Linked DNA regions of Mus musculus. The protein of the gene in region 3 purifies or fractionates together with the protein of the main gene of each other region. This does not show direct contact. Links are inferred from orthologs where the notes say so. Each region holds a gene or a part of one and is shown on either strand. Other genes may lie near its edges. The genes, in order: Pxmp2, Nat14, Pex19 and Faf2.

Evidence for each region.
Region 1: the proteins of Pex19 (region 3) and Pxmp2 purify together in Homo sapiens (affinity purification with mass spectrometry; 3 studies listed by BioGRID and IntAct, counting the BioPlex papers as one, with this or other methods). This does not show direct contact. The link is inferred for Mus musculus from reciprocal best matches to the Homo sapiens genes PEX19 and PXMP2.
Region 2: the proteins of Pex19 (region 3) and Nat14 purify together in Homo sapiens (co-immunoprecipitation; 3 studies listed by BioGRID and IntAct, counting the BioPlex papers as one, with this or other methods). This does not show direct contact. The link is inferred for Mus musculus from reciprocal best matches to the Homo sapiens genes PEX19 and NAT14.
Region 4: the proteins of Pex19 (region 3) and Faf2 purify together in Homo sapiens (affinity purification with mass spectrometry; 4 studies listed by BioGRID and IntAct, counting the BioPlex papers as one, with this or other methods). This does not show direct contact. The link is inferred for Mus musculus from reciprocal best matches to the Homo sapiens genes PEX19 and FAF2.

Annotation. Positions count from the first base shown.
Region 1 is NC_000071.6:110,281,129-110,288,459, forward strand, and holds the start of Pxmp2 (peroxisomal membrane protein 2), read right to left. Parts: upstream 5,041-7,331; 5' UTR 4,878-5,040; coding exon 4,756-4,877; intron 2,626-4,755; coding exon 2,518-2,625; intron 254-2,517; coding exon of another isoform or gene 232-253; coding exon 69-231; intron 1-68. Other genes in the region: Pole (DNA polymerase epsilon catalytic subunit A), read left to right, coding at 5,260-5,321. UniProt on the Homo sapiens protein: Seems to be involved in pore-forming activity and may contribute to the unspecific permeability of the peroxisomal membrane.
Region 2 is NC_000073.6:4,919,654-4,927,011, reverse strand, and holds Nat14 (N-acetyltransferase 14), read right to left. Parts: upstream 4,427-7,358; 5' UTR 4,373-4,426; intron 4,367-4,372; exon of another isoform or gene 3,950-4,366; intron 3,805-3,949; 5' UTR 3,755-3,804; coding exon 3,683-3,754; intron 3,110-3,682; coding exon 2,561-3,109; 3' UTR 2,006-2,560; downstream 1-2,005. Other genes in the region: soluble scavenger receptor cysteine-rich domain-containing protein SSC5D, read right to left, coding at 496-522, 1,033-1,519; Zfp628 (zinc finger protein 628), read right to left, coding at 5,115-7,358. UniProt on the Homo sapiens protein: Probable acetyltransferase. May act as a transcription factor that regulates the expression of coproporphyrinogen oxidase by binding to a promoter regulatory element.
Region 3 is NC_000067.6:172,124,274-172,131,780, forward strand, and holds the start of Pex19 (peroxisomal biogenesis factor 19), read left to right. Parts: upstream 1-2,481; 5' UTR 2,482-2,505; coding exon 2,506-2,575; intron 2,576-4,357; coding exon 4,358-4,467; intron 4,468-4,881; coding exon 4,882-5,047; intron 5,048-5,628; coding exon 5,629-5,714; intron 5,715-6,338; coding exon 6,339-6,500; intron 6,501-7,507. UniProt on the Homo sapiens protein: Necessary for early peroxisomal biogenesis. Acts both as a cytosolic chaperone and as an import receptor for peroxisomal membrane proteins (PMPs).
Region 4 is NC_000079.6:54,647,558-54,654,357, reverse strand, and holds part of Faf2 (FAS-associated factor 2), read right to left. Parts: intron 6,067-6,800; coding exon 5,928-6,066; intron 4,381-5,927; coding exon 4,295-4,380; intron 4,200-4,294; coding exon 4,108-4,199; intron 2,316-4,107; coding exon 2,138-2,315; intron 1-2,137. UniProt on the Homo sapiens protein: Plays an important role in endoplasmic reticulum-associated degradation (ERAD) that mediates ubiquitin-dependent degradation of misfolded endoplasmic reticulum proteins.

The DNA.
Region 1 (7,331 bases), on a different chromosome or scaffold from region 3:
ACCCTAGGAAGCAGGCTATCAATCCGCCTTTAACTGGAGATACAGTACATGCCAGGACAAACACCCACCTCCAGCAAGTTCATGACGAAGAAGAACAGCAGCAGAAAAGTTGGGGCAAAGAACAGGCGATCCAGCAGGAGCCTCTTGACGCTGGCCCAGGGAACCTCAGGAGGGACCGAGTATTCCATGAAGAGGTAGAGGTAGTGACTCAGTGGACCTGTGACAAACAACCTGGACGCCACAGGCGTGTGAGCTGCACAAGGGTTTGAGCATCACTGTGGTTCTTTCTACATTTCCATCTCTGGTCCTCACACCAAGATTCACCTTAAGCCCTAAGCCCTCTTTTCTTCCCCCAAAGTATTTACTGACCACACAGATTTATAAAGATATTCTAGGGGGAGGGAAAAAACTTTTTTTTTTTTTTGAGTTTTTCGAGACAGGGTATCTCTGTATAGCTCTGGCTGCCCTGGAACTCACTTTGTAGACCAGGCTGGCCTCAAACTCAGAAATCTGCCTGTCTCTGCTTCCCGAGTGCTGGGATTAAAGGCGTGTGCCACCATGCCCGGCTAAAAACTTTCAGTCAGTTTCAGCAAGTCTTTTTGCCCAAAAAGACTGAAGTGACTTCTGCCAGTTCTTCCATTTGGTGAGCAGGGACAGCCACAATGATGGCCCTGGCTGAGGTATATGCTCATCTGCCTCCTCTGTGTTCCAGGCATTTATGCCATCTGTCCTCATCTGTGCCCTCCTGATTTAACAGGTTCTGAGAAACAGACAAACATAGCTCAGCTCCCAGAGATTTCTATCAAGCTTTAAAAAAAAAAAAAAAAGATTTATTTATTTTCTTCATATGAGTACACTGTAGCTGTCTAAAGAGGGCATCAGATCCCATTATAAGTGGTTGTGAGCCTCTATGTGGTTGCTGGGAATTGAACTCAGGACCTCTGGAAGAGCAGTCCATGCTCTTAACCACTGAGCCATCTCTCCAGCCCTTTCATCAAGCTTTTAGGGGAAACTGGCAAGAGAAAACCTGGTTATCACCTCTGACTTCCCTAAAGCGCTGATCTCTAGTCCACACTTGGTTCACCTGGGAATGAGCCAAGTCCAGCAGATTGAGTTTCACAAAGTACAGTAATATAGGGAAGGGCAGGAACCCGGGTCTTTCAATTCTACCAAAGTCTATAAACAAGGTTTTCAATTGAACTTTCTTTTGGCCACAGTAAGGCAAACAAGGGAAGTCTTTGGGAGGCCAAGATCAGGTGAGAGGTGTTAAAGTACCTTAGCTGATCTTCTTACTTGCCAAAGTATGGGGGATGTGGCTTTTTAAACATTTTAATAAATGGCCCAAGTTATTATTCTTGGAAGCTTTTGTGGAGTTTGGAGTGAATCTCAGTTGGTAGAGTACTTCCCAAGTATGCAAGAGTACTTTGCAAGTAGGCAAAACAAACAAACAATCCTGGGTTTCATTCCCATCATTGAAAAAAAAAAAACCCAAAAAACAAACAAACAAAAAACCCACAAAAGGCCGGGTGTGGTGGTACACGCCTTTAATTCCAGCACTCGGGAGGCAGGCGGATTTCTGAGTTTGAGGCCAGCCTAGTTTACAAAGTGAGTTCCAGGACAGTCAGGGCTATACAGATATGGTGGTGCACATCTATAATCCTAGCACTCAGGAGGCAAGGGGATCAACAGAGTCCAAAGGATATATGAGGTTCGGACTCTCTTTTATTTACACATGCATGCATATGCATGTGGGCACATACATGTGCTCGCACACATACACACACACACACACACCCAGGAATAGTCTTTCTGGTTATTTATTTATTTACTTATTTATTTTGGCTTAAGACAGGGTCTCACTGTGTAGCTCTGGTTGACCTGAAACTCACCACTGAGACCAGGATGGCTTCCCAAGTACTGAGATTAAAGGCATGCACTACCACACCCAACTAAATAATGATGATACGTGAGGTCAGTGGTAACCTATACAAAGCCTTGGGTTTAATTCTAATGCCACACATCCACACAAAGTTTGTGTCTTTGTTTGTTTTGGAGACAGGGTTTATCTGTGTTAGCCCTGGCTGTCCTGGAACTCACTCTGTAGACCAGGCTGGCCTCGAACTCAGAAATCCGCCTGCCTCTGCCTCCTGAGTGCTGGGATTAAAGGCGTGCACCACCACGCCCAGCTTCTCTGATGCTTCTTAAACAATTATTTTTTTCTTTTTTTTAATTAAATTTTTTGCTTTCTATTTCTTGTACATGGATATTTTGCTTGCAGGTATATCTCTGTGTACCATATATGTGTCTGGGGCCTTACGAGGTCAGAAGTCATCAGACCTCCTGGAACTGGAGTTACAGAAGGTTATGAACTGCATGGGAGCTGGGAATCAAACCTGGGTCCTCCATAAGAGCAGTCAGCACTGCTAGCTTAGCCATCCTCCAGCCTCAGAATTAGGTTTTTTAAACCAACATATTCCGAAGGGCTAATGCTGGCAGGCAGATCTCTGTGGTACTTACCCATAAACTAAATATCTGAGAAGCCCACTGACTTCTAGATTTTGAGAGTCTTTTTTCCGCTTCTCAATCGTCTGGGCCAGAAGGTTTCCAAGGGCTGACAAAATGCCGCTGTAGAGGAAGAGACAATCAGAAAATGAGCAGCAGACACAAGAGCCTGTCCCGCATGGCAGTAGCACGGCTGCTGTAAGATCTTCCTGTGTAGAGCCGGGTGTGGTGGTGCACACCTTTAATCCCAGCACTCAGGAGGCAGAGGCAGGCGGATTTCTGAGTTAGAAGCCAGCCTTGTCTACAGAGTGAGTTCCAAGACAGCCAGAGCCATACAGAGAAACCCTGTCTCGAAAAACAAAAACAAAAAACAACCACCAACAACAAAAAAAGATCTTGCTGTGTAGATCATGGGATGAGTCCCTATTGAAGTAACTTGCTAAGTTAGGTAAAGCCCCAGAAGATAGAGGCACTATGACCTAAAGTGAAAACCACAGATGAGCACAGTGAGACATCCACCTGCGGGGCTGTGTGCCTTCCAACATCCCCACAGCTGCTCCATTGAAGGCATGGATGTAAAAGGCAATAGGAGGGATCCTCACAAGGACATGGTCTGTGGGCTGTATTTAAGCAAATAACTCTATGTTGTAGTTTTGTTTTGTTTTGTTTTGTTTGTTTGTTTGTGTTTTTTTTGTTTTTTTGTTTTGTTTTTGAGACAGGGTTTTTCTGTATACCCCTGGCTGTCCTGGAACTCACTTTGTAGACCAGGCTAGCCTCGAACTCAAAAATCTGCCTGCCTCTGCCTCCCGAGTGCTGGGATTAAAGGCTTGTGCCACCACGCCTGGCTCTTAGTTTCTTTTTATGTTGCAAAATGAACAAAAACCAAACCAAACAAAAAATGAGACAAAGGCAACTTAAGAGAACAATGGCTTATTTCAGCTCCCAGTTAAAGGTTCAAGTCCATCAAGGCAGAGAAGTGAAGGCAACAGGAGGTTGAAGGATCTCCTCACAGCACACCCACAATGAAAAGAGAGAGAAAACGCGTGCGGTTCAGCTAGCTCACTTTTTCCACTTCCAGTCAGACACCAACTAGGAATGGTGGCGCCCCTAGTGGGCAGATCTTCCCAGCTCAAAGAAGATAATCAAGATAAGCCCCTCAGGCATGCTTAATTCCTAAATGTTATCAAGTTGACAACTAGCTTTAACCACCACAGCTGTCTTCTAAAAAGCTATAAATCCAAAACTTTTAGTATGGATCATAAGGACCCTCTTGACTTGACCCCTGGTTACCTCTTCCTATCTACTCTCCCTGGTCATTTTCTCCACCAGAGTCCTTCTCTTCACCCCTCCGACATTCTCTGAATTCTTCCCCCAGAACTTTTACACTTACTGTGCCCTGTAAACAACCGCTTCTCTTCTCTGTGCTTCTGACCAACGTCAACAACCCAGGAGAAATTTCCCTAACTGCTCTAAGTTATACATTTATCTGCCTTTTGCGGGGGTGGGGTGGGGTGGGGTGGGAAGATGGACTCGTTCTTCTTAGCTCCGAGAGAAGTCTATGCGCCTGTTCTGATCACAGCTATGTGCCCGCGCACAGGAAGCACTCTGCACACACTTATGGAAAAGCTAAGTTAATACAGAACCTACAAAATGCACTAATGGAAATGAACAGAAACAGGGATATCTCGTTAGGAAACCGAACGATGTAATTCAAAGGGCAGAGTTCACCAGCGACCGTGCCTGGGTTGCTCAGGGTTAGAATGTGTCCCTGACTCGCGGGTCTTCACAACACTCAGACTGCAAAGGCTAACTAATGCTTGGGACCCAACACACAAACAGCACTTACTGGCTAAGCAGAACGGGGTCGCACCTTAAGGAAGAACTCTGCCTTCCTCCACAGCAGTGGTTCTCAACCTTCTTATCGCTGTGACCCTTTAATAATACAGTTAGCTCCTCATGGTGTGGTCACCCCAACCATAAAATTACTTTCACTGCTACTTCTAAACTGTAATGCTGCTACTGTTGTGAATCATAACGTAAATATCTGATATACAGGATATCTGATACGTGACCCCCTGTACAAAGGTCGTTCAACCTTTAAGGGGTTCCCGACGTACAGGCTGAGATCCACTGCTGCTCGGGCAATATCTGAGCTGCTTGGTCTGCAGACGCCCCCTCTCTTAACCTCCCCTGCAGGAGAGTCTCCCCTGTCGGCACCCCTCCTTTTCACCCCACTTCCCAGTAGGCGCCCACCTGCTGACTGCTTTGGTGAGCACCGGGTAGAGCTTTAGGAGCAGCAAGTATTGGGCGAGCGCTCGCTTGGGAAGCGACCCGAGCTCGGATTCCACCCGCAGCCTGGACGCCGCAGGTGCCATCGCGGTCCGGATGTCTAAGTCGCCCCGGGCGCCCACCCAACAGCTAGGCAGTCGGGCACCCGGCCCGGGACACAGGGCACAGGGCGGGGACGGCCTGACATTTTCTGCCCTTCCTCCGCCCTCAGCGAGCCCGGCCGTCCCGCCACGCGCGCGGCCAGCTAGTGCACTCTTTTCCCCCGGTCCCTGCGACCCACCCTCTGCGCTCGCCGGAGGATTGGAGAGCCGAGGGGCGGGGCGGGGCGGGGCGGGGCGATGGGGGCGGGCCCCGGCTAGGTCCATCTGAGGCCGCGCCTTCTCATTGGCCGAAGCCGTAGCCTCGCGAGAGCACGTGGAGAGCGCGCCAAATTCTCCCCGGAGCCTGAGGGAGCTTTGGAGCGTCGCAATGGTCCTGAGGAACAGTGGACGGAGGCACCCCGAGCCGGGCGCGGATGGCGAAGGCAGCCGGTGAGAGCCGGTGTCCTGCTGCCAAGGCGCTGGCGGTAGCCGCGGCCGGAGCAAGCTTGGGCGGGCGCGGTGTCCGGGGGTTCAGGGGTGGGGAAAACAGCGGGCCCGGCGCGCGGCGCGGAGGACAGGGCGGGCTCCCGTCTTCGCCCTGTGTGGTTTCCGTAGTTTTTATTGAGATGCTAAACTCAACTCCGTGGCCCAGGCTGCTTCTCTAGAAATATCTGTGCCTGCCCTGTGACTTGACTAGGGGTGAACATCTATTCTCATCAGACAAGAAGGGAACGGGGAAAGTAAAGGAAGATTCTGTCTAGACCAGCTCGGCGAAGTAAACCAATTTATTAAACCAAAAGCCGAAACCCTTACGCATCACATCAGCAAGAGATTCTAGAGTATGGTGACAAAGGAAACTGATGTGGATATCGTATATAGAGATTGGTGACACTGTGGCAGAATAAGACTCTGTATCAGGGGCTGGTGAGATGGCTCAGTGGGTAAGAGCACCCGAGTGTTCTTCTGAAGGTCCAGAGTTCAAATCCCAGCAACCACATGGTGGCTCACAACCATCCGTAACAAGATCTGACTCCCTCTTCTGGAGTGTCTGAAGACAGCTACAGTGTATTTACATATAATAATAAATAAATCTTAAAAAAAAAAAAAAGACTGTGTATCAGAATGTGAGCACTCATTGAGTGGAAGCCCGGTTAGAGCTGAATAGTGATAGTGTTTTCCTATTATATGTGAAGCTCTGGGTTTGCTGTACAACACCTGCATAGCAGCCAGGGTAATTGACCTGGACCAGTAAGCGGTTCTTCAGTGACAGGTTCCTGAGAGAGTGATGGCCAGGGGGATGAGGAGGAGATGGAGAAGATAAGAGCATTCAGGATCAGGAGGTGTCACACAGAGTGATGGCTCATGCAAGCAAGTTTATTAGGAAGTACAGCATCTTTTTTTTTTTTTGATGTATTTACTTATTTTATGTATGTGAGTACTCTGTAGTTGTCCTGTCTTAAGACACACCAGTCAGATCACATTGTAAATGGTTGTGAACCACCATGTGGTTGCTGGGAATTGAACTCAGGACCTTTGGAAGAGCAGTCAGTGCTCTTAACCACTAAGCCATCTCTCCAGCCCCAAGCCATTTCTTCAAGCCCCCAAGTACAGTGTCTTACATAGAGGTTTTGTACCTCTATGGAAAGGTGGGTGGGACAGTGTCATAGAGCAGGTAGCAGCCTTGGGACAGAAAACCATAGCCCCTTAAGGATGAGAAGAGATGATTTCTTAGGATCCGGATCCACAGCGCCCTCAAGGCCCTGGTTCTCAGGCTATTACTTGCTCTACCAAGCTCATTCCTGATTTAGAAAAAGGAGCTATGTTCTTTTTCATACATCCAAGCCTCAGTCTAACAGTAACAATAGTTACTGTGTTGACTTCTTCATGTCCATGATGCCATGGAAAGACACGTGAGGTGGGCAGTACTCATACTGTTATGTTCATGCTAGACTTCAGTTTAGAGATGAGAGATGTGAAGTACTTTATCTACATTTACAACTATTTGATGTGCATATATAAATATATATTTTACATATATTAGATTTTATGCATTATATAATTATGTTATTACATGTGGCATTGTATGTTGTATATATAATATATACTTTATATATTACATGTGTATATGTAGCTAGAAGTGCAATACAGAACCTCACATACTCTACCACTAGGACATATCATCAACTAAGGACGTGCCCTTAGTCATTCAACTTTGCCATGTACTTGAGCAGATGGAAAGTTGTTGCTGCATAAATAAATAAAACCTTTTAGAAACCTTTTGTTTTTAAGAATTTGGTTATATTCACACACATACCCTACTCCTCTCAATTCTTCCCATATATAACCTTTTCCAACTTAGAGACCATATATGTATGTATGTATGTATGTATGTATACACATGCACACACACACATATATATATTTAAATAACCCAATTTGTCCACCTGTGTACTCTTAGCA
Region 2 (7,358 bases), on a different chromosome or scaffold from region 3:
TGCGCAGCCATGAGGACCATCAGCCAGGCGGAGTCGCTCTGAGGGATGAAGGAAAAGCTGTGACCCCACACAGGAGTACTGTTGGCTGGGGGTCTACGGTAACACCAAGGCAGGGGGACTACCTTACAAGCTACCACCAGGAAGCCAGCTACCCTGGAGGCTGGACCCTGGTCCCAGACTCCCAGGTGCAATGAGAGGAATGTCTCAGAGATGCTGGGGGCTGTGTGGAAGGACACTGTGAACCAGGGAATTCAGGCATCCCCGGTCCTTCTGCCCCACAAGGGGGTCAAATAACCTTTCCACTCCTCTCCCCATCACTGGCCTCATAACTTTGGTCCTCTCCCATAGGTCAGCGTGCAGCTAACTCTAGAGAAGACTCATTGTCCCTGTTGGATGGCAGCAATGTCTGGGGAGTGGAATTGGGGTAGCAGAGACCAGAAGGAGAGGGGGGGAGTTGGAGCGGGGTGAGGCCAAGTGTAGAATCAGGACACTTACCTATAGCCTGGATCCCCACCAGCATTGCTGCAAAGGAGGTTGGAGGGGACAGAGTGAAGGATAAATCAGAGGGGAGGGGTCCTTTCCCCAGTGCAGGCTCCCAGCCTCAGTACAGTGGGAAGCACCCATTCACAGTCAGATTCCTCACACCTCTGAGTCAGAAACCCCACTGCTGGAATGGACTTTGGGAGGAGGCTGGGATAAGTTACAGGTCCCTGGGGTGGGTGGGGCCCCAGATGCCTGACCCTTGAAAACAGGACTGGGGACCAGATTGAATGGTGGGAGTGATAGCGCTACAGAGTACATGACAGGGCAACAAAGGGCAGGTCACTTGAGCTGCTAGGCAGGACGTGCAGAAGGCTGGGTCCCTCAGGGATTAGAGGGGCCAGCCAGATGTCAGGATATCACACTGCACCAGGGACCAGAACAGGCTCCCTCAAGTATGAGCCCCTAAACTGGAGAAGCTAACTGGGTCAGAGGTAAGGGTCCAGGCCCCTAAGGTGCTTACCCCCCCCCCCAAGGAAATGGATCACTCACCAAGGAGGCAGGCCAAGCCCCTCATGTTCGCAGAGTCCAGGGGCAGGGGATGGGGTGAAAGGGGAAGGAGGGCAGGAGAGGGGAGGAGGAGGCAGCCAGGGAGGGAAGCAGCTGCTGAGGAGCCCTGGACAGCTAGGAGCAGGCTGGGCTGAAGGCTCTGCCAGGAGGGAGAGAGGCTGCAGGGATGCAGCAGGGGACAGGAGGGGGAGGGGGCTGGCCACAGCTGAGGCTGGAGGGGGGGGTGCGGGGGGCAGGCAGAAGGGAGGTGTTCAAGTGCAAACACCCACACTGGAGGGAGGCGGCCAGCCAGGCTCCAGAGGGCCACGTGCTCAGAGATGCTTATGGGGATGGCAGCTCTGGGAAGGGGCAGGCCTGGGTGTCTGGGGGACAGGGCTGAGGGCACACCCTTCTGCCTCCTCTTATTGTCCAGCCAGGCAAGTAAGTGCAGCTGGGAGTGGACAGATTTTGGGGAATCCTGCAGTAGCATGAGGGCCTGAAGCCAGATACTAGGAGGGACTTCCTAGATCAGGAAAAGAAACTGAAAAACTCCTGTCCATTTGTCACCCACTGTGGTAAATCTGGATGGGAAGCTCCCAGTGCCGATTCGAGAAAAGAGTGTCTGAACTTATTACCAGTTCCCAGAACAAAGGTATGGAGGGTAGAGAGACTGAGGGGTCAAGGCTTCGGTCTGGAGGGGGTACACACACACACACACACACACACACACACACACACACACCAGGCAGCTGTGAGGGGGAAAACTTTGGTAATGGGGAGCATGACTCAGAAGGCCTGGCAAAGACTGGCTGCCGCTGTGAGCTCACTGCTTCTCCTCTTCCCAGCGCCCCCCCCCCCCCCCCAACACACACACTTCCCTAGCAATTAATGTCAACTTCTTCGGAGAGGAGGAGCCAGACAGAAGGAGGGAGTCTGGAGAGAGCAGCTGGAAAATGCATCAGACAGGAGACAGGCACACAGAAGTTTCAGGGTTTATTAACAAACAGTGTAAAAAACCAGATGGGCTTGGAGACACTGTGCTCCTGGCCCCACCCACTCCCAGAAGATCTGTCCCCTTTGGGAGTTCCCTGTCACAGACTCTAACTTTTAGTCTCTCTCTCTCTCTCTCTCTCTCTCTCTCTCTCTCTCTCTCTCTCTCTCTCTCTCTCTCTCTCTCTTTCCTCAAATCTCCCTTCCAGACCTCAAACACAGGCAGCAGGGGCTTTGTAGACCCAGAACCCGACGTTTTTCAGTGCATACAGACTGGGGCAGTGGGGGTGAGGCAAAGGACTGGACACGGTGACCTCTAGTGGTCCCAGAAGACCAAGAAGGGATTTGTTCTACTTGAGTTTAGAGTCCTCATTGCAGCTGGCAGGCACACTGGGAATGTAAGTCCATCAACCTCGGTGCTTCACTATCAGCCCAGCAGACTAGGTAGACACTGAGGGGGGGATGTAAAGTGCCTGGCACACAGTAGGTGTTCTTTAGGTGCTGGTTCTCTGCCCATCTATCCAGTGGGCATGGTCTCTAATCACAGGTCTTTGCTGAATTCCCTAACCAGCATATAGCCCATGCAGCCCCAGCCTCCCTCTGCCTGGTAGCCACAGGCCTCCAATAACCCTGCCACCCCCCAAGCGGCTACAGCCACTGGGACCACGAGCCGGGCCCGAGGCTCCCCCATACTTCCAGCCCATGCTCGGGCTCGAGCCTCGGCAAAGGCCAGCAGCCTTCTGCCCACGCCCCTGCGACGGTGCCATCGAGAGACAGAGAGGCGGGTGACTCGGGCTCCATCCCCCACGTTGGCACCAGGGGCCAGAGCCAGGACTCCACACACATCGCCGGAGCCACGGACAGCCACCCAGGGCCCTCCCAGGCCGCCTGGTGGAGGCAGAGAGCCCCATCGGGCTCGCAAACCCAGCTTCACAGCGGCTACAGCCAGAAACACGGGCAGCAGGAGGGCCAGGGCGAAGGAGGCCAGGATGAAGCGCAGTCCGCTGCTGGCTGCAGCCAGGAGGAGAAGGGCTGGAGGTCGTGTCAGAGCGTGGAGGGCCACACGGTTTTCCGTGTCTTTTACACCAGCCTGTGGGTGGGAGTAGAGGCTCAGCCATTCATCACATAAGAACTTCCGAGGAAGGATTTCTCTTCTCAAGTGAGAAGAGAAGCCAGCGGATGGGGTGGTCCCAGTCTGGCCCATTGGGTGTTAAGGGCTGAGCGAATGAATGCGGTTTGCCCGAATGAAATGAACTGATTTAGGACCTGAGGCCCATGAGTCCGGATGGCATGCTAAGGTAACGCACCAAAGGAGACTGAACAGGATAGGCAAAGTGAAGACATGGGCTCTTCGCTGGAAGGTCTGGGGTGTGTGTGTGTCTCAGTAGCCCTCATTTTGGGACTGGTAAGTGGGGCTGAATGGAGGTCAAGAGACCTGAACACCCAGCCCCTACACCCTTTCAATTGCTTTTTTAAAAATGGCAGCTGAGGTTTAAGTAGGGAGAAGGCAGTAGAGAAAAGAGACCAATTAAAAACAGCTGAGGCGAAAATCCCCTCCCCCAGGACCCCCGGAGCTCAGGCAGGTGGGCGGGGCTGATGGAACCCACTTTGAATGGCCCTAAGAAGCTGCGCATGCTCACTGGTGCCCCTGCCGGCCTCTCACCTTCAGCATCTCCAGCACCAGGGGCTTCTCATCTTCCCTCATTTCCCGCACTGACAGGTGGTTAGGGGCCATGGTAGCCCCCAGGCAGGCCCCTCCCCAAGGGAGCTGACGTTGTACACCTGCTGAAAACAAGTAGGTTGGTGTTAGGTGGGCACCTGAGTTCTAAGAGCCCTGGGAGGGATGGGCCGCAGTGTTTCCCAGATCGCCAAGGACCCTAGAGCATTGCCAAAGAAGACTGTCACAGTGGCAGGCCAGGTGCCTCCATACCCAGTGGGGCTCTGAAAATCGTCCCGAATCGTCCCCCACTCCGGAGAAGACATTCATTGATCTGCCTGTAAACTCATCCCCTATCCAAACTCCAGCAGCCGGTCTCCTGAAGTGGTCCCACCCCACATAGCAGAAACAGGGCCCTGAAAGGCACCTCCACGGGGTTGCTCGAATCCCTTGACAGTAAGGGAGAAGGGGGGCAGGGGCAGGAGAGGGTCACCACCGGAAGTGACGTCCACGCTCCCGACTGGAGGCAAGACCGGCACCTTAGCAACTGTTGCCAAGCTTCCCCCACTATGGGGCAGGGGTTGGGAGTAATGGAGGAAACTGCGAGGACGAGGGAAGAGCTGTGACCTGCTGGAGGCCAGTGGGAGAACCTTGGAGAAGGGGGGATGGGAGTGGGGGACAGAGAGGGTTTCTTACCCGGCCTGCCTGGGAGGATTAGCACAGCTCCTTTCTTGCTGGTCCTTCGTTGCTAAGCGACCTGAGCATCAGGAAGAGGAGGCGTTGCTTGTGAACCTAATCTCATTGGCGCTTGGGTCTTTGAGGGAAGGGATGAGGGGTAGCATCAAGCATCCCCATCAGCTGAGACCTTATTCTCAACCCGGAGGCACCTGGGGTATCGTTTGAATTAATAATATTCCTCTACCTACCTTTCAGGTGAGGTAAGGGTGGTTTATAGGAAAGAAGTGGAAAATCCAGAAATTGATCCCTAACCCTCCCTGCTATAAGTACAACTACAGACGAATACATACAAAGGTTGGGAAAGGACCAGAGAAATAGCTCAGGGAGTAAGAGAGCTTGCCAAAAGGAAACCCACATGACTGACTCCCACTGTCTCTCTGTCCTCTGCAAGTGTACCCGCCCTCCCACCCCCAGCACAGTAAAAGCCTTAACAGTTTAAAGGATGGGGGAGCTGGACCCCACCCCGGAGAAGCATTTAGCCCTCCAAGTACAAAGCAAGTCACCTCAGATCCGGGAAGCAAGAATGAAGACTTCCAGGTCTGAAGCAGGGGCTATGCCCATGACTATACCTCCCCCATGAAAACAAAACCAGGAAGAGATTCTGGGTCTTTATTAGCAAGTCCAGCCAGCAGCCCCCCTGACTCTGGGGCTGACCCCAGCCCAGCTGAGGAGAACAGTTAATTGCGGGGAGGGGGTCTCTTCAAAACGTGTGTACCAGTTGGACTGCAGGAAGAGTCTGCACAATCTGGATGGAGGGCAAGTTCTGGGGAGCCATGACCCCTGGTCCAGCCACTGCGGGGACCACTTGTACCATCTGGGACGGGGGAGCTACGGGCACCCCCACAGGGGCAGAGACCGGGCCAGGTGCTGACGGGGCCAGGAGTTGCAGTGTTGTGGTGCCTCCTGCAACGCTGCTATTTTCTAGCAGATCAGTAGCTGGGGCGCTACGAATGATAAGGAGTTTCTGTCCTGATGGGCCAGTGGCCGCTGGCTCCGCCAGACCGGGGGAAAGCGTTTCCACCTCCTGCACGCAGAGCCTAGTCTGCTCACCATCCGCCCCACTCAGCACCAGCACACTCTGCAGCCCCTCATCTGTCTGCAGTGTCTCAAACAGGACGTCCTGGACCACACCAGCACCGGCCTCACTGTCTCCCACTTCCCCGGGCCCAGGGCCGGTCAGCAACTCTTCAGTTGCCCCACTCTGAACCAGCAGCAGGTTTGGAGCTTCTGTAGTGCCAGCTCCTCCATTAGAATTGGAGACTTGGCCTGTCAGGGGCTGGAGCTGGACCGTAGTCACCTCCTGTGCTGGTTGTAGCTGGACTGTAGTCACTTCCTGTGCAGGCTGTAGTTGTACCGTGGCCACTTCCTGTGCTGGCTGAAGCTGGACCCCACTCACTTCCTGTGGTCCTGTCTCCCCACTCCCTACATTCTGCAGAACAATGAGGCTCTGCCCTCCCCCGCTAGCCCCTGCATTGGCCCCTCCTTGCAGCCCCAGACCACCTGGGCCTGGAAACCACACCACCCCTGTCCCCTGTCCAGCTTTCCCAACAGACCGAGGGCCTGGCCTTGCAGCACCACTGCCCGGACCTCCAGCACTGGCAGGAGGCAGCAGAATGACTTTAGGGGGTGGAGGCGGGGGTGGAGGAGTAGGGGATTGGACACTGCTTGGAATCAGCTGGAGGCCCTGGGCAGTCTGTACCAGGAGAAATGTTTGAGAACTGGGAGCAGCCGGGCCTGGGGGCGTAGGCTGGGCTGTTCCCCCAGCTACTTCAAGTGAAAGTGTGGCCTGTAGGTTAGGGAGTACGTGAACATCTTGAGCAGCCAGTGGAGTTGGAGCTGCAGCCAATGGGGCAGGGGGCTGCGATGCTACAGCAGAGCCGGTGGTGCCCGAAGTTGTGGTGGCTGGGGTGTGCGTCCTCAGATGCCGCTGCAGGTAGGCAGCCATAACAAAGCCACGGCCACAAATGGGGCAGGCAAAAGGGCGCTCGGCAGAATGAGTGCGCTGGTGCAGCAGCAGGTTGGAGGAGTGTGTGAAGGTCTTGGGGCAGAGCGGGCAACGGAAGGGGCGCTCGCCCGTGTGCACCCGCTGGTGCTGCCGCAAGTTGGACGTCTGTGCGAAGCTCTTGCCACACACACTACATGAGTGGGGCCGCTCACCGGTGTGCACATGCCGGTGGCGCCGCAGGCACGAAGTGTTACGGAAGGCTTTGCCACACTCAGTGCAGGCATAGGGCCGCTCACCCGAGTGAAGTCGCAGATGGTACTGATAGTGGGACGACCACTTGAAGGTGAGGCCACACTGGCCGCAGGTGAAGGCTCGCAGGCCTGTGTGCACACGCTGGTGGATGGCCAGCAGGGAGGAGCGTTTGAAGGCTTTGCCGCACTCCCCACACTGGTAGGGCCGCTCACCTGTGTGGTCCCGAAGGTGGTAGCGCAGCCCGGAAGAACCCTTGAAGGCCTTCCCACACTCGGCACATTTGTAGGGCCGCTCTGCAGAAACCACCGGGGCAGGTGGAGGAGGAGGGGGTGGGGCAGGAGTGGCTGGGGCTACAGGTTCCTGGGGACAGGTGACCTCCGCAACCTCAGCCTGGGGAGGTGGGCGTCCGGCTGCCGCCTCCTCCACGTGACACTGCTGGTGAGCCAAGAGGCTGGCCAGTTGTGGGAAGGCACCATCACAGCTGCCACAGCGAAAGGCCTGTCCACTGGCCGCACCATGGCTGTGCTGGTGACGGGACAGGCCAGCCACCGTCCGGAAGGACTTCCCACAAGGAAGACAAGCAAAGTTAGGAGGGCCTGGAGTGGCAGGTGGGGGCTGTGGTAGGGCGGAGTCAGCCTGGGGCAGCTCGGCAGGCACATCCTGGGACTGGGTGGCTACAGGGGGCCCCGGGCATGGCTGGTGCTCCAGGAGGAGCTCCTCGCTGCTGAAGCCCTGCTCGCAGCCATC
Region 3 (7,507 bases):
CTGGCCTTGAACTGACCTTGAATTTTTAATCTTCCAGTCTCCCAGCTCCTTAGTGCTGAAATTACTTGAATTTTTCATTTTAATCCATTTTAAATCCTTTCCTTTTTCTTTTCTTTTTCTTTCTTTTTTTAAATTAATTTATTTATTTGTAATATGTAAGTACACTGTAGCTGTCTTCAGACACTCAAGAAGAGGGAGTCAGATCTCGTTATGAGCCACCATGTGGTTGCTGGGATTTGAACTCAGGACCTTTGGAAGAGCAATCAGTCGGTGCTCTTAACACTGAGCCATCTCACCAGCCCCTTTCTTTTTTCAACTGATAATATATCCGTGAAGTTCAGACACCAGTCTTTAGACCTTTACTGTCAGGCCAGTGACATGGCGTAGGAAGTAAGGGCACTTGGAGGTCATGACTGACAACCTGAGTTTGATCATGGAGATCCGCATGGTGGGAGGAGAGAACTTGCTCCCCAGGGCAGCACATGACCTCCACACAAGCATCATCGTGTGTAGGCACCATTCCACCTATACACTCACAATTACTGCCCAGTGGTGGTGGCACACGCCTTTAATCCCAGCGCTAGGGAGGCAGAGGCCAACTGATGTCTGAGTATGAGGCAGCCTGGTCTACAGAATGAGTTCTAGGACAACCAGGGCTACACAGAGAAACCCTGTCTCAGAGGAAAAAAAATCAAAACAAACCCAAAAAACTAACTGCCTTGTGTATCTTTTTCCTGAGCCACTCAGTTCCTATTAGTTTTCCCCAAACAGGTAACTACTTACCAGTTTCCTTATGGCCTTCAAAAAGTATATATTTATAAGTATATCACTGTGTTTTTCCCCACCTTCCTTTTATACATGGCAGGAACATAATCTTTTTTTTTTTTTAATTCAAGACATTTTAAAGTTTTATATGTGTGTTGTGTGTTTAGGTTTTCCTCATAGTATCTGGGTTATTTATGCTGATTATCAGCATTGCTGCAATGAGTAAACTGGAACATACATTGTGTGTGTGTGTGGGGGGGGGGGAGTGTGCCTGACTGAGGAGGAAAAGCTGCTCCAAAGAGCACAGGACTTTAGTGTTTTCAGATTTAAGAGTTGCTTTCTTAAATATAATCCTCAAACTAAGACTGCTTTCTCAAAAATGTGTATATTACGGGAATATTTTCTTAAGTTTTATACATTCTTCCTTCAAGGTCAGGCAAGAATCTGGCACAGCAATTCACAGCCATAATTCGGATTCTTGGAAGGTTAAAGCAGAACAATTGGCTAAAGAGCAAGATGCTGTCTCAAAAAAAAAAAAAAAAGATATCATGGTGGTTAAAGAGATGGCTTAGCTGTTTAGAGCAAAGACTGTTCTTGCAGAGGACTCAGGTTAGTTCCCAGCACCCACATCTGGTGGCTGCCAACCACCTATTGCTCTAGCTCCAAAGGGATTTGCCACTTCTTGCCAGCTGAATAGAAAAGAGAGACAGGTGTGGTGGTACACGCATTTAATGCCACCACCCTCGAGGCAGAGTCAAGAGTATTTTTTTCGTTCAAGGCCAGCCTGGTCTACAGAGTTCCAGGAAAGCCAAGGCTACATACAGAACATTCTCGATAAAACAAAAACAAGACAATCCCCCCAACACACAAAGAAAACTGAAAGAAATGATTCAAAGAAAGAATGCTTGTTTTTTAATCTGCTTAAGTAACATCTGTGTTTCCAATTCTATCTCCAGTCAACCTCTACAGGTAGGACCATCCCTGATCCACTTGTAGATTTCACTGTGCTCAGCACGATTGTATACAACAGTAGATGCTCATTATACGCTAAAAATAAATTGGATGATCTTTGTTTATCTGTTTTGTGTATATGTCAAGGAGCATATTCGGAGGTCAGAGCCAGCACATGATAGACATCTCTCCTACCACGTGTGCTTTGAGGATGAAACCAAGGTTGCTTCAATTTGGCAATCCTGTCTCAAGCGAAAAATTGCTCGTTTAATAGCTTCGTATTTTAGCTGAGCCCTGTGCTGTAATCTCTGTCCTTGGGAGGTGGAGACAGTAGGATTAGAAAACCCTGCCTGAAAACAAAACCCAGATTAAAGATTCCAGGTTAAAGATGGGGCAAGCAAAACGCAATAAACCCTCCCACCCCTTCTGACCCGCCCCCACAATACAGCTGGGCCTCATGGGTCAAGTAGTTTGGAAGTGGAGACGGGGAAGGGAGACCCCGATTTCTGGACCAGCTTGAGCAATCTATCTAGTTCAAGGCAAACCGCTGTGGCTCTGTAGCTCCAGTAGCCGAGTGCTTGCTTAATACGTGCAAGAACCTAGGTTTGAGGCCCAACCCAAGAAAAAAAACAAAAACAAAAACAAACCCAGTCTCCTGTCCCTTTAAAAATGGCGGTCCTGCACGGTAGAACGATATTATTGGCTGCTCAAGTCATGGGGGCGGGGTTGGGGCGGGGCATGTGGTGGCGCCAGTGGTTCCACCTCCTACGGCAAGTCGGAGGCAGTAAGATGGCGGCTGCTGAGGAAGGTTGCGGTGTTGGGGTCGAAGACGACCGGGAACTGGAGGAGCTTCTGGAAAGTAAGAGTGCACGATGGGAAAGACCAGAAGTATCGGGGAGAGGATCCATCGTGGGGGTTAGAGGAACTTGAGGTTTCTGAGCGGGGCGGGAGAATCTCTTCAGTGGTCAGCGGGGGAGGTGGTCTGAGTTCGACCCCGGCCCTCTTTATTAGCTGGCTGTGTCCAAACCGCACATCTCCCTGCGAAGGGGAACACTAACCGTAAAGAGCTGTTTCACGAGCCCCTTACAAACTTCTCTTGCTTTCGATTGTCGGATTGTTGTTGAGGCAAGGCTCTCTCACTCGGTATCCCAGGCTGATCTGGAACTCGCGGCAGTCTTTCAGCCTCCGCCACTGGGAGTACAGAGATCACAGGCTGGACCCACCAGGATCGCCTTCTGTAAATTATTAAAATCGCCTCTCCTTTCAGTAGCAGGATTCACAGAACAAAATAATCTTTAAGCTCCAAAGGTCCATATGTCCATGATAGTATCTTTCTTAACCCGAAACGCCTTTTTACCGCACAGTCTTTCCTCATTCTTTTACCAGACCCTTAGTTCTTTCGTGCGAGTAGTCAAAGAAGTCTCCTTTTAAAATTAGTGTGATGTTGAGAGACTGTCTCGTGTAGTTTTAGGCTGACCTCACACTCATTGAGTACTGTAGAGTGGCCCTGAACTTGTGATTTTTCCAGTCCCTTCCTCCGCATTCTCGCATGGCACCACAATGCCTGACATCCCTTATTTATCCTTTGGAGAAAACAAAGTGAGCCAGCCCCAGGGGAAAAGGTCTCCTCTTCCTGAAAAGATGGTGGACCTTCATCTCTTTCTTGGCCTTGCACTCCACTCCCGTTTCCTGCGCCAGTGAGGCCAGTGCCCTTTCCCTAGTCCTGGCAGGCAGAGTGATGGTGACAACACAGGCTTTTCAGGGCAGAGGTGAACCTTTTATCTCTTGCTCAGTCACAGCGATATAAGCAGGTAGAAAATGAACAGATGAAGTGAGGAGTGCCCAGTGACTGGCCTGGCCCAGGCTTACTGCATATGAGGCCAAGGAGGCTATAGGTGCCTGTTAAGGGCGATCTAAATTGGAGCATTATTTAAGAGTTAATACCTTCTTGTCGAATGTATCCTAGTAGTCAGAACGGTGGAAAGCCGGGTGGTATATTCTGTGCTTCCTCAACAGACGATATTAGCTAAGGCCTCAGAGTGAATTCCAAGAAATAAGGCTCTCTCTCCCCTCTTCTTCATGTTAGATGAAATGTGTAGGTTTTTGTTTGTTTGGTTGGTTGGTTTGGTTTTTCAAGGCAGGGTTTCTCTGTGTAGCCTTGGCTGTCCTGGAACTCACTCTGTAGACCAGGCTGGCCTCGAACTCAGAAATCTGCCTGCCTCTGCCTCCTGAGTGCTGGGATTAAAGGCGTGCGCCACCACGACCCAGCAGGGTTTTTTTTTTTTTTTAAGGGAATTTTATAGTGTGCATATAGAGATTTCTTTGCACAGCTTTTATTTAATTCTCTCCTCCTAATTCTGAGATGAACACTGGTTCTGTGTAAAAGGGTTTCCTTCCCAACTGGTCACAACAAACTAGATGGTTCTCAAGGAAGGTGGGAAGCCTATTGGCCAGTAGTCCAGGCAGAAGAGACACCAGAAAAAGAGAGAGAAGTCCAGGAAAGCCAGCACTTTGTATCATTATTTTCCTAAGAGTTTGTTTCAAATCACACGGCTGTCTAGCCCTTTCCACCCTCAACATCGCCACCACGTCCGTCTCTTGTCTCCGAAGGTGCTCTTGATGATTTCTCTTGTCTCCGAAGGTGCTCTTGATGATTTCGACAAAGCCAAACCCTCCCCAGAACATGCTCCGACCATCTCGGCTCCCGACGCTTCAGGACCCCAGAAGAGAGCGCCAGGAGATACTGCCAAAGTATCAATTCCCCCACTTAAGGGAGAGGGAGGATGGCCATGCAGCTCAGAGCAGGGATGGGGGGCCCTCTGGGCCAGAGGGGTGGCTGAGAGGGTGCCTTTGCCTCACACTGCTGAGTGTTCTTCCAGGCCTCAGTTCCTATGAAACGAGGACCTGTGGTTTTACGGAGGGCTAACGAGGAAAGAGGAAAGAGCGGTTTTAAGTGGTTGGCTTTGTATGCTACCTCATATTAGACCTTCAGTGGCCAGTCTTTGCTGCCCTCCGGAGAAGAGGTAGATGGAATGTTCAGTGGAGGTGCTCGTGGGAGGGGAGATGTTTCATTTCCCAATATGAGCTCGTTTAAGCGGCTAGCCCCAGGGTGATGCTATAGGAGGCAAATGTTGTCTCCCTCCCCACCCCACCCCACCCTTGCAGGATGCTCTCTTCGCCTCCCAAGAGAAATTTTTCCAGGAACTGTTTGACAGTGAGCTGGCTTCCCAAGCTACTGCGGAGTTTGAGAAGGCAATGAAGGAGCTGGCTGAGGAAGAGCCCCATCTGGTGGAGCAGTTCCAGAAGCTCTCAGAGGCAGCTGGGAGAGTGGGTGAGGAAACCCCAAACATAATACTGGACAGGCCTCTTAACTGATTGAGAGTACCAGGATTGTAAAATTGATGACCATCATGATGTCACAGCCATGGCTGGGGGTGGGGGGGTGTAAGGCAAGAGAAAGAGCTGTGGGAATCTAGCTTACTAAAAGGAAAAAGGTAAGATATTTTGGAAAGTAATGAAAAAAGATTATTCCAGCCAGGTGTAGTGGCTTATTCAATCCCAGCACATCAGAAGCAGAGGTAGACGAATCTCTATGAGTTTGAGGCCAACATGATCTGCATGGTGAGTTTTACAACAGCTGGAACTACAGAGTGAGACCGTACCTCACAAATCCTCACAAATCAATACGATTCTCCCAAAGCAACCCTTTTAAAGGAGTGTTACTGTGGAGAACAGCTAACACAGTACCAATATAGATTCATGGCATGCCCGTGAAGGTAACTACAGAACAACTAAGATTTGGAAGTGGTAGTAGCTTGCTAGTAAATGCTCTCCATCCAGGCTGGTAACTAGATGGGTGTAGACAAGCTGACAGTGAGGATCCTAGCTAACCCTGGGTCTTTTGTCTCCCAGGCAGCGATGCAAGTTCTCAGCAAGAGTTTACTTCTTGCCTAAAGGAGACGTTAAGTGGCCTGGCCAAAAACGCCACTGAGCTGCAGGTAAGGGGGAAGGAGTGAGGGGAGGCCGCTCTCAGTGCTTCCTAAGCAGTCTCACAAAACAGATGCTGGGTGGGGAGGGGGCCTGGAGCCATGGCTCAGCAGTTAAGAACACTGGCTGATCTTCCAGAGGACTAGGGTTCAATTCCCAGCACCCACATGGCAGCTCACGCCTGTCTTATCACTCCAGTTCCAGGGCTTCTGACATTTTCACACATTTTCTGACAAATTTACACACAGTCAAAAAAGAAAAAAAAAACATAAATAAGATAAAACTTTAAAAAGTTTACTTTTTAAAGTTTTTAAAAAAGCTCTGCCGGGGGGTGGTGGTGGTGGTGGCGGTGGCGCACGCCTTTAATCCCAGCACTTGGGAGGCAGAGGCAGGCAGATTTCTGGGTTCAAGGCCAGCCTGGTCTACAGAGTGAGGTCCAGGACAGCCAGGGCTACACAGAGAAACCCTGTCTTGAAAACAACAACAACAACAACAAAAAGCTTTCTGATATCTCTCCCAAATCTGGCCCCCTTTGGTTTTTGTTACAGGCAAATTTAGATAGTTCTTTCCACCGGAAAAAGTGGTAAGCATTCAGGGAGGCAGGGTGCCTGTTCACCTCTCTTTCTCTTGTCTAGAACTCGGGCATGTCTGAAGAGGAGCTGATGAAAGCCATGGAAGGGCTGGGCATGGATGAGGGGGATGGGGAAGCGAGCATTCTCCCCATCATGCAGAGCATCATGCAGAACCTCCTGTCTAAGGATGTGCTGTACCCATCCCTGAAGGAGATCACAGAAAAGGTTCGTGAGTTTCCATTGCTGGCTTGAATCCTCACTTCAGTGTATCAGCTCGTGGGCCACTTTGCTGAGACGATGCATAGTAAAGGGGTAATTTGAATGGACAAGTACGGTTTTTTAAAACGCCTTGTTTGTCACAGTTGTTATTGAGAGTATTAAGCTGACCATCTGTCCACGCTGGGAATGTTTGAGCTAAAAGGGGAAATTTGCACTCTAGTTTTCTATAAATTAGTTCAAGACTTTGAGTTTGACTGATTCATTCTTTCTTATATATTTTTAAGCTTTATATATTTATTATATGTAAGTACACTGTAGCTGTCTTCAGACACACCAGAAGAGGGCATCTGATCTCATTACAGATGGTTGTGAGCCATCATGTGGTTGCTGGGATTTGAACTCTGGAAGAAAAGTCAGTGTTCTTAACCGCTGAGCCATCTCTCTAGCCCTCCTTCTTATATTCTTAACTTTACTAATTTCTCCAGTAGGGACTCACAGGATTTTGTGGTGGTGTTATGAACCGTTGGAGAGTGCTTTAAGCGGTGGTTCATGCTTAAAAGAGCTATAGCTTGACCAGAGAAATGAAGTTGAGAAATACAAGTTCTTCAGCCTCACGGGCAACATGTGACTGAAGAGCAAGACCAGGAGTCTGCAGCCCAGTGTTTGTGCAGCCTCAGTCTGACTCTCAAGCTAAGAGTAGTTTTTACTTTGTTTTTTTTTTTTTTTTAAAGATTTATTTATTTATTTATTTATTTATTTATTATATGTAAGTACACTGTAGCTGTCTTCAGATGCACCAGAAGAGGGCATCAGATCTCATTACAGATGGTTGTGAGCCACCATGTGGTTGCTGGGATCCGAACTTCAGACCTTCGGAAGAGCAGTCGGGTGCTCCCACCCACTGAGCCATCTCACCAGCCCTTTACTTTGTTTTTAAAAGATTTATTTTTATTACTATTTTTAAATTAGGTGTACACACACAAACACGCACACGAGTTAAGGTGCCTATGGAG
Region 4 (6,800 bases), on a different chromosome or scaffold from region 3:
CTGGTGACTTATCCCAGCAAGAGAAACCTTGACTAGGACACAGGGTCTTATATATCTCAAGGTGGTCTCGAAACTCACTATGTAGCCAAGGATGACCTTGAACTTCTGATCTGTTCCCCAACTGTTAGGAACTCAAGTGCACTTCCTGTCTATTTTCTCTTCTACTGAAGACAACGGCATTCTGAAGCAGAGCACAGCAAACTCCTGTGGAATTTGGGATCAAAGTCTGGGCAGGCCTTTGTAGCAGGTACTGCTAGCCACTGAGCTATCTCATGACCTGCACTTACTGTCTGACAATCTCATGCATTTAGATAATGGACTTTAGTCATTTTCAACTCCAATCCACTCTCATCCCCTTCATTCCTCCTGACTCTGTCCTTCCATATGTGGCCTGTGGCAGAGGGTAGTTGGGCGTTATTTACAGAAACAAGGCAACTACTCCCCACTGATGGCCAATAGTCCCTCAGGGAGGGGCGGGGGCTTTGAGTGTGGTGACTCGCTCATCCTCTGCCTTACTCTCCTTCTGCTCCTCTTCCCTGACACCCCTGAGCCCCGAGGCAGGGCCACAGCTGTCCCACTCAGAGCCAAGCACTCCAGCACCTCAGTGGTCCACACTGAGGTCAGACAGAGGCCAGCATGTTTCCTTCTACATTTACTTATTCAAATGTACATGGTACTGAAGAAGGAGTAAGCGTGCCGCACAACATGTGGAGGGCAGTACTCTCCTCCTACCTGAAATTAAGTGTGATCTTGCTGGTTGGTCCTCAATCTTTAAAAAAAAGTTATTCTTATTTTTAAAATTGGTGTGTTTGTGAGTGAGAGGAAAGAATCGGAGAAAGATAGAGAGAGAGAGAATGAGAATATATATATATACATATATGCACACACACACATATACTCAGGTGCCCATGAAGGAGTTGGATCTCCCAGAGCTGGAATTATGAACTGCCCATCTTTAGTGCTGGGAACTGAGCTGGGGTCCTTTGGATCCTAACCGCTGAGCCATCCCCAGCTCCCCACGTTGTATTTAAGGCAGTTTCTCAGTGACCCTGCAGCCTGCTCACTGACTAGCCTGACTGACCTGCAGAGCTCGGGACCCTCCTGTCTCTGCTCTGCTCAGTGTGGCAGCTGCTCCTAGCTTTCATGGGGGTGCTGTGGAGCAAAGCTCAGGTCTTAGCTCCCACAGAAAGCCCCCATGGACAGCCATCTCCTTGCTACCCTGGAGTGGCTGCTTATGTGTGCACCATGCTCCTGCAATGACATCTGGATGAGATCCCAGAGGAACAGAACTCAAACAACTTCCCGAGAGTTGAAACAAGTGAAGCTAACTAAGTGCTAACCAAGTCTACTAAACTGTCTGAGCCCAGTCATCAGAGCACAAGCTGTGGCGTCTTGGTCTGCAGTTCTAAAACCACACGTAAAGCAGTGCAGGGTGAAAGCAGTGAAGGTGAGCGACAGCCTTGGGCTTGAGCTCCCACCCAGTGGGATCTGATGCTGCCTCAGGGGCAGAGGTTGGAACAGAACTGATAAACTAGACACCTAGCTGTTGTCCACTGCTACACAACTGATCTGCTTGGTGTGTGGAAAAAACCACCTATACATCTGGTGCCAAATGTGATCTGTGTTGAGTATGACAAGGTAAATGGGCCTTTTGTTTGTTTTCTGTTATTATCTTCAGAGTAAGCAGAGAGTGTGCACAAGTGACTACAAATCTAGAAGCACCCTAAAATTATGAATGCTTTAAAATTTCTTCTTTGACTTTACCATTTCAATTTTTCTGTAACTACTGTACATAATCCATGTAATGAGAAAAGCTATAATCAGTCCACCTTCTTCGCATTAAGTTCTATGTTCAGCATTCCAAGCTATTCTTTTGTTTGTTTGTTTTTTCGAGGCAGGGTTTCTCTGTGTAGCCCTGGCTGTTCTGGAACTCACTCTGTAGACCAGGCTGGCCTCGAACTCAGAAATCGCCTGCCTCTGCCTCCCAAGTGCTGGGATTAAAGGTGTGTGCCGCCACCACCGCCCGGCCCAAGCTATTCTTCAACATGAAGCAAAGGCTTTTAAAGTGCCCAAGACACAGGAAAGAAGTCTGTGGAGCCCCAAGTCAGTCCGTTTTCCAAGCACACATCTCCAGTACCTTTCTAGACGTTCTGACACCAGGTAAGTCTGGTTTGCATCCATGATGAATGTCAGCTGGTTGATGAGGTCATCAGGTTGAATGAGGCCTTCTAGCCTTCCAACCACAGTCATTCGCCGATCCTTCAACATAATCATAGCTAGGAATGGATAGGTGTTCTCCCGTAAGGCCTGGGACACTGACACAAAGACCCAAGAGATCAAGCGTAAGAGTTGGGAGGAAACACATCAGTCCTTAGACTTTGCACACACTGATGGAAATACCCTCAGAGATTTATTTCTGTCTCCTGTGCGTCAGCACTTGTCTCCATGCACACGTGCATCACATGCATGCATGGTGCCCAGGAAGACTGGAGGAGGCTCAGATTCCCTGCATCTGAGTTACAGACAGCTGTGAGCCGCCAAGCGGGTCCTCTGGAAAAGCAGCCCATGCCCTTCGTCACCGAGCCATCTCTCCAGCCCCTCTGCTGTATTTTTTCCTCTAAAGATGAGTGCAGAGATTAGAAGACAGCTTTCTAGAGTTGGTTCTCTCTTTCCCCTGTGTTTGATAACCAAACTCAAATTCCATCTCATAAGCCCTGCCTGGTCTCTTCATTGTTTTCTGTCACGTTTGTATTCCTAAACTGAGGCGAGTGCTTAGACCAGGGTGAGGCTTCTTGGTAAGCTGCTGTTATGCTGAAAAGGTAACAAGGTTCTAGGATAATGTCTACTGAACGGAAGGAAAAGGCACTATAAAGAGCCATGTTACACTTAAGTATAATTTCTCCAGATGTTAAGAGTCAAAGCCACTGGGGACAAGGCTGAAATTCTCAGCTGCATGCTGGTGGCTATGGTTTTACAGCGCATACACTTCCTGTCTTTTCCTCCTCATCCAATTCCTTCCACCCCTCATTTTCTTCCCTTAACAATGTTAGCTTTCTGCTCCAAGTAAGAAAGTTGTTCTGTAAATAAACAAATTTTACTATGATGTAATTGCATCTATGTTCTTTTTTTTTTTTAATTTATTTATTATTGTATGTGTGAGTATACTGTTGCTGTCTTCAGACACACCAGAAGAGGGCATCAGATCCCATTACAGATGGTTGTGAGCCACCATGTGGTTGCTGGGAATTGAACTCAGGACCTATAGAATAAATGCTGAGCCATCTCTCCAGACCCCTGCATCCTATGTTATAAAGAAAGAAATTTTATAACTCTTTACAAAAAGTATCCTTTGTGTAATCTACCTGCTAGCCCCACAGAGCCACATTAGAATGGCAAAACACAGGCTGCAGGAATATAGCCCATGTTTACAAATCAATTAGGAGTAAAGATTAAGAACTAAGGTGCAAGAGAAACAGCTACATTGTATTATATTTAGTTCTGAACACCAGGCACCCAATGCCTAGGTGTTAGCATATACAGAGGTTGCTGGACAAAGAGGCTACAAAATGACTGTATTCTCACCACTGGGATCTTTGTATCTTCTGATGATTTCTAAAAACACTGACTAAGAGTTGCTGCCAGAAAGACTGAACTCCCTGCATTGGCTGTCTGCGCTCTAGCACTCAACAGAAGACTCATTAACCAGAGTTCTGCTGAAAGCCTGGATAGAGAAGACAAATGCCTAGCAAAAGCCTGTTAAAATTAGAACTGAGCTGCTGGGCAGGACTGACTGAAAATCAGAGTCTCTGGCAATGGTTAGCTGTAAAGAATGGGCCTTAAACTTGCTCTGCTCAAACACAACCGTACGCTGACTGTATGCTCTTGGATCTGTCTTAATGTCTCTGTTGTTGTTTCATTAATCTCAAAGAAGAATTAATACAACCTTTATCTCTCAGACTGTTGACAAAGTTAAATGACAGAAAGTAAAAACTGCAACTAGCATTATGTCTATCAGAGAACCACCACCCAGGAATGCAACAGCATGCTTTTCCAGACTTCCCCAAGGATACTCTAACCTTCTCAGTAAGGCAGAGGAACACGACTTACCCCTGTACCCCTCAGGCTTGTTTGTAGAACAAGCCCAGAAAAGCATCCTGCTGTTTATCAGTGAGATGACCTCAGGTGCGCAGAGAGCATTGCTGTGGAACAAGATAAAACATTGTGAGAGCAATTTGCCAACTATAAACCATCAGCAAAAAAGTCAGAGAAGAAAGAAAATGACTCATCTACTTACCGGCAGAACTCATCAGAGTCCTGGTGGTCATCTCCATGAAGATAAACCAAAAGAAATCGAAGTTCCCGCTTGGCATCGTTAAGTGCCTTAGAGAGACAAAAGATCATGACTTACTACTACTAAGGTCTGGAACTACTATTTAGGCTAAGGGTTCAGATGAACATAACTTTTAATCAACATTAGCAACTAGAAAGAGGGGAGGGAAGTGGGGTTGAAGGGGAAGCAAGAAACTAAGTACTTCCCAGGCTTCTACCTTTACATCTATCCCTGGCATCTTTCTCCTTATAAAGCCCAAGCCAACAACTTTAACGCAAAGCCTTTCGTGCTGTTAGAATTTACGCTGCATCGGGCACATGAGGATGTAAGAAGTGACTCAAATAATTCCTGACAGTCACAGAAAGTCAGCTGTTCTCATGGTTTAAAGGTAAAGCAGGACACTGTGACTATGTAAAAGCAATTTTGCAGCTTCAAAATTCTTGCTAATAAAAAATTAGCTGCAAAGATGAGTGGGATCCAGCAAGAACACAGGCAAGCAGGAAGCACTAGGGCACCCAAAGGTTTCCTAAAGAGCACAGGGTTCAGAAGATCTGAGACAAAGCAAGTGTCTTGTCACGAATCTTGTCACGTATGAATGGTATACTCCTGACTAACTGCCTGTAATTCCCTGCATTGCTAATGTAGTCTACCCTCAAGATCACGCAAAGAACTGCTGTCTCCCTCACCCTCACTCTCTGCGGCCCCAAGCAGGGGATCTAACTGTGTACAGCAGGTAGGTGTGTGATGTTTGCGAGTGGGGAGCAGCAGCCAGCATGAAGATCAACTGTGAGACAAAGCAGAAGCAAGAGTGAGCTGCCCCCTCTCCAGATAAGAATCAGGAATTCCAGATACTCCACAACAGAGCCACCTTTTAACACATGTCTGTGCTGCTCTTTATTGTTCTCTGGCAAACTACATATGCCTAAAATCCAGCTTTCCTCCCTAAAAGGAGAAAATGAAAGGTCTTTGTGGCTTGGTTTGAATCAAATGAGCTGCCTTGAGCCTATGGTCTAAATCCTATTCAGTTTGTAAGAGATCAAAACAAATTCTGCTCTTGCCTTGAAGGTGTGTACAGTCTGATAACACAGCAAAGACATGAACACAAATCATGTAAGGAGGAATGTAAAATTGCTATAAATTTAAGAACAGAAGGATGGAAAACAAAAAAGAAGGAAGGTCAGTACTTTAGAAAGCAAGGTAGGGTGCGATAGGGAAGGAATGGAGTGGCCAGAACAGCCCGAGCTGGTGTGAAGGACGGGTGCGGAAGGCAAGGCACCCGTTAGCCAAAATGATAGAGGACACTCCTTGTGGGAGGAGCAGCAAGAGCAGGCACTGAGGGGAAGTGTTCGGGGAGGGGTGCGGTGGGAATCTAGGGAATGGAAACAAGCTATGCAGAAAGGACATCACAAGAACGGGGCTAGACCAGGAGGCTAGAGAAAAGGCTTGGTCCTGCCTCTGTTTACATTTCTCTAACCAGTGAGGAACTAGTTAAGTCTTTTGTGAGTGTAAGAGCAACATGATCACAGCTAAGCTACACTTTCCTTTGAGGACAGAATCATATTGGTACGTTGGCATCTATTTGGTTCGTGGCACTGACCTGGCTGTACGTTCCCTGGTAGAAGACAGGGTGTGCCCTCCCATATTTCTCTTCAAAAGAGTGCATAAATGAAACAATGTCCCCAACAGGGTCAGTGACCCGGCTGCGAGGGTCAGGCCGTATAAAACGAAGAGCAAACCTGGGGAGGAAGGAATAAATATCACATGAATTGGCTTACTGTAGCGCATATGGAGTGGGCCAGTTTGTACAGACTTTTCTAACAGAGCCAGAGGGTGGTAGCAGGGGAAGTGAGTGGTGAGTGAGTGGCCATTAACCCTCAAGGGAGAGTTGAGGACACTGCCAAGTGTCCGCTCTCTGCTCAAGAAGACTGCACACCACTAGACAGCGACATTCCAGTGCAGGGCTGACCAAGAAAGATCCAAACCCCAGACACTGTCTAACGTGGCAGCGACTAACTATTTATGGCTGTTTTAAATGCGTTAAATTAAACACAATTACAATTCAGTGCCTGAGCCACACCTACCATGTCTCAAGTGCTCAACAGACGTATGTGGTCAGTGATTTGCACACCAAATAATGCAGACAAAGAACGTGTCTTAATCAAAAAATAAGAAAAGAAAGAAAGAAAAGGTGCAATGACAAACACTGCTGCAGAATAGACGACCCCTTGCTGCATCTCCTCCTCCCAGCATCCCCTGCTTTATGTTCTTCTGGGATTCTGACTGTTCAGCTCCTACTCTCAAGTTACTCAAGTATCAACAGGGGCTTCACTTCAAACCTGGACTTAGTCACAATGTATTTGTTCTTCAAAGGGGCGTGTATATTTGCTTGATATGTTTACAGTGATGGCATCCATGGGAGGAGTCATAAAGCTGACCAAGATGTGGAACACTGGTGGCTACTTTAGACCTA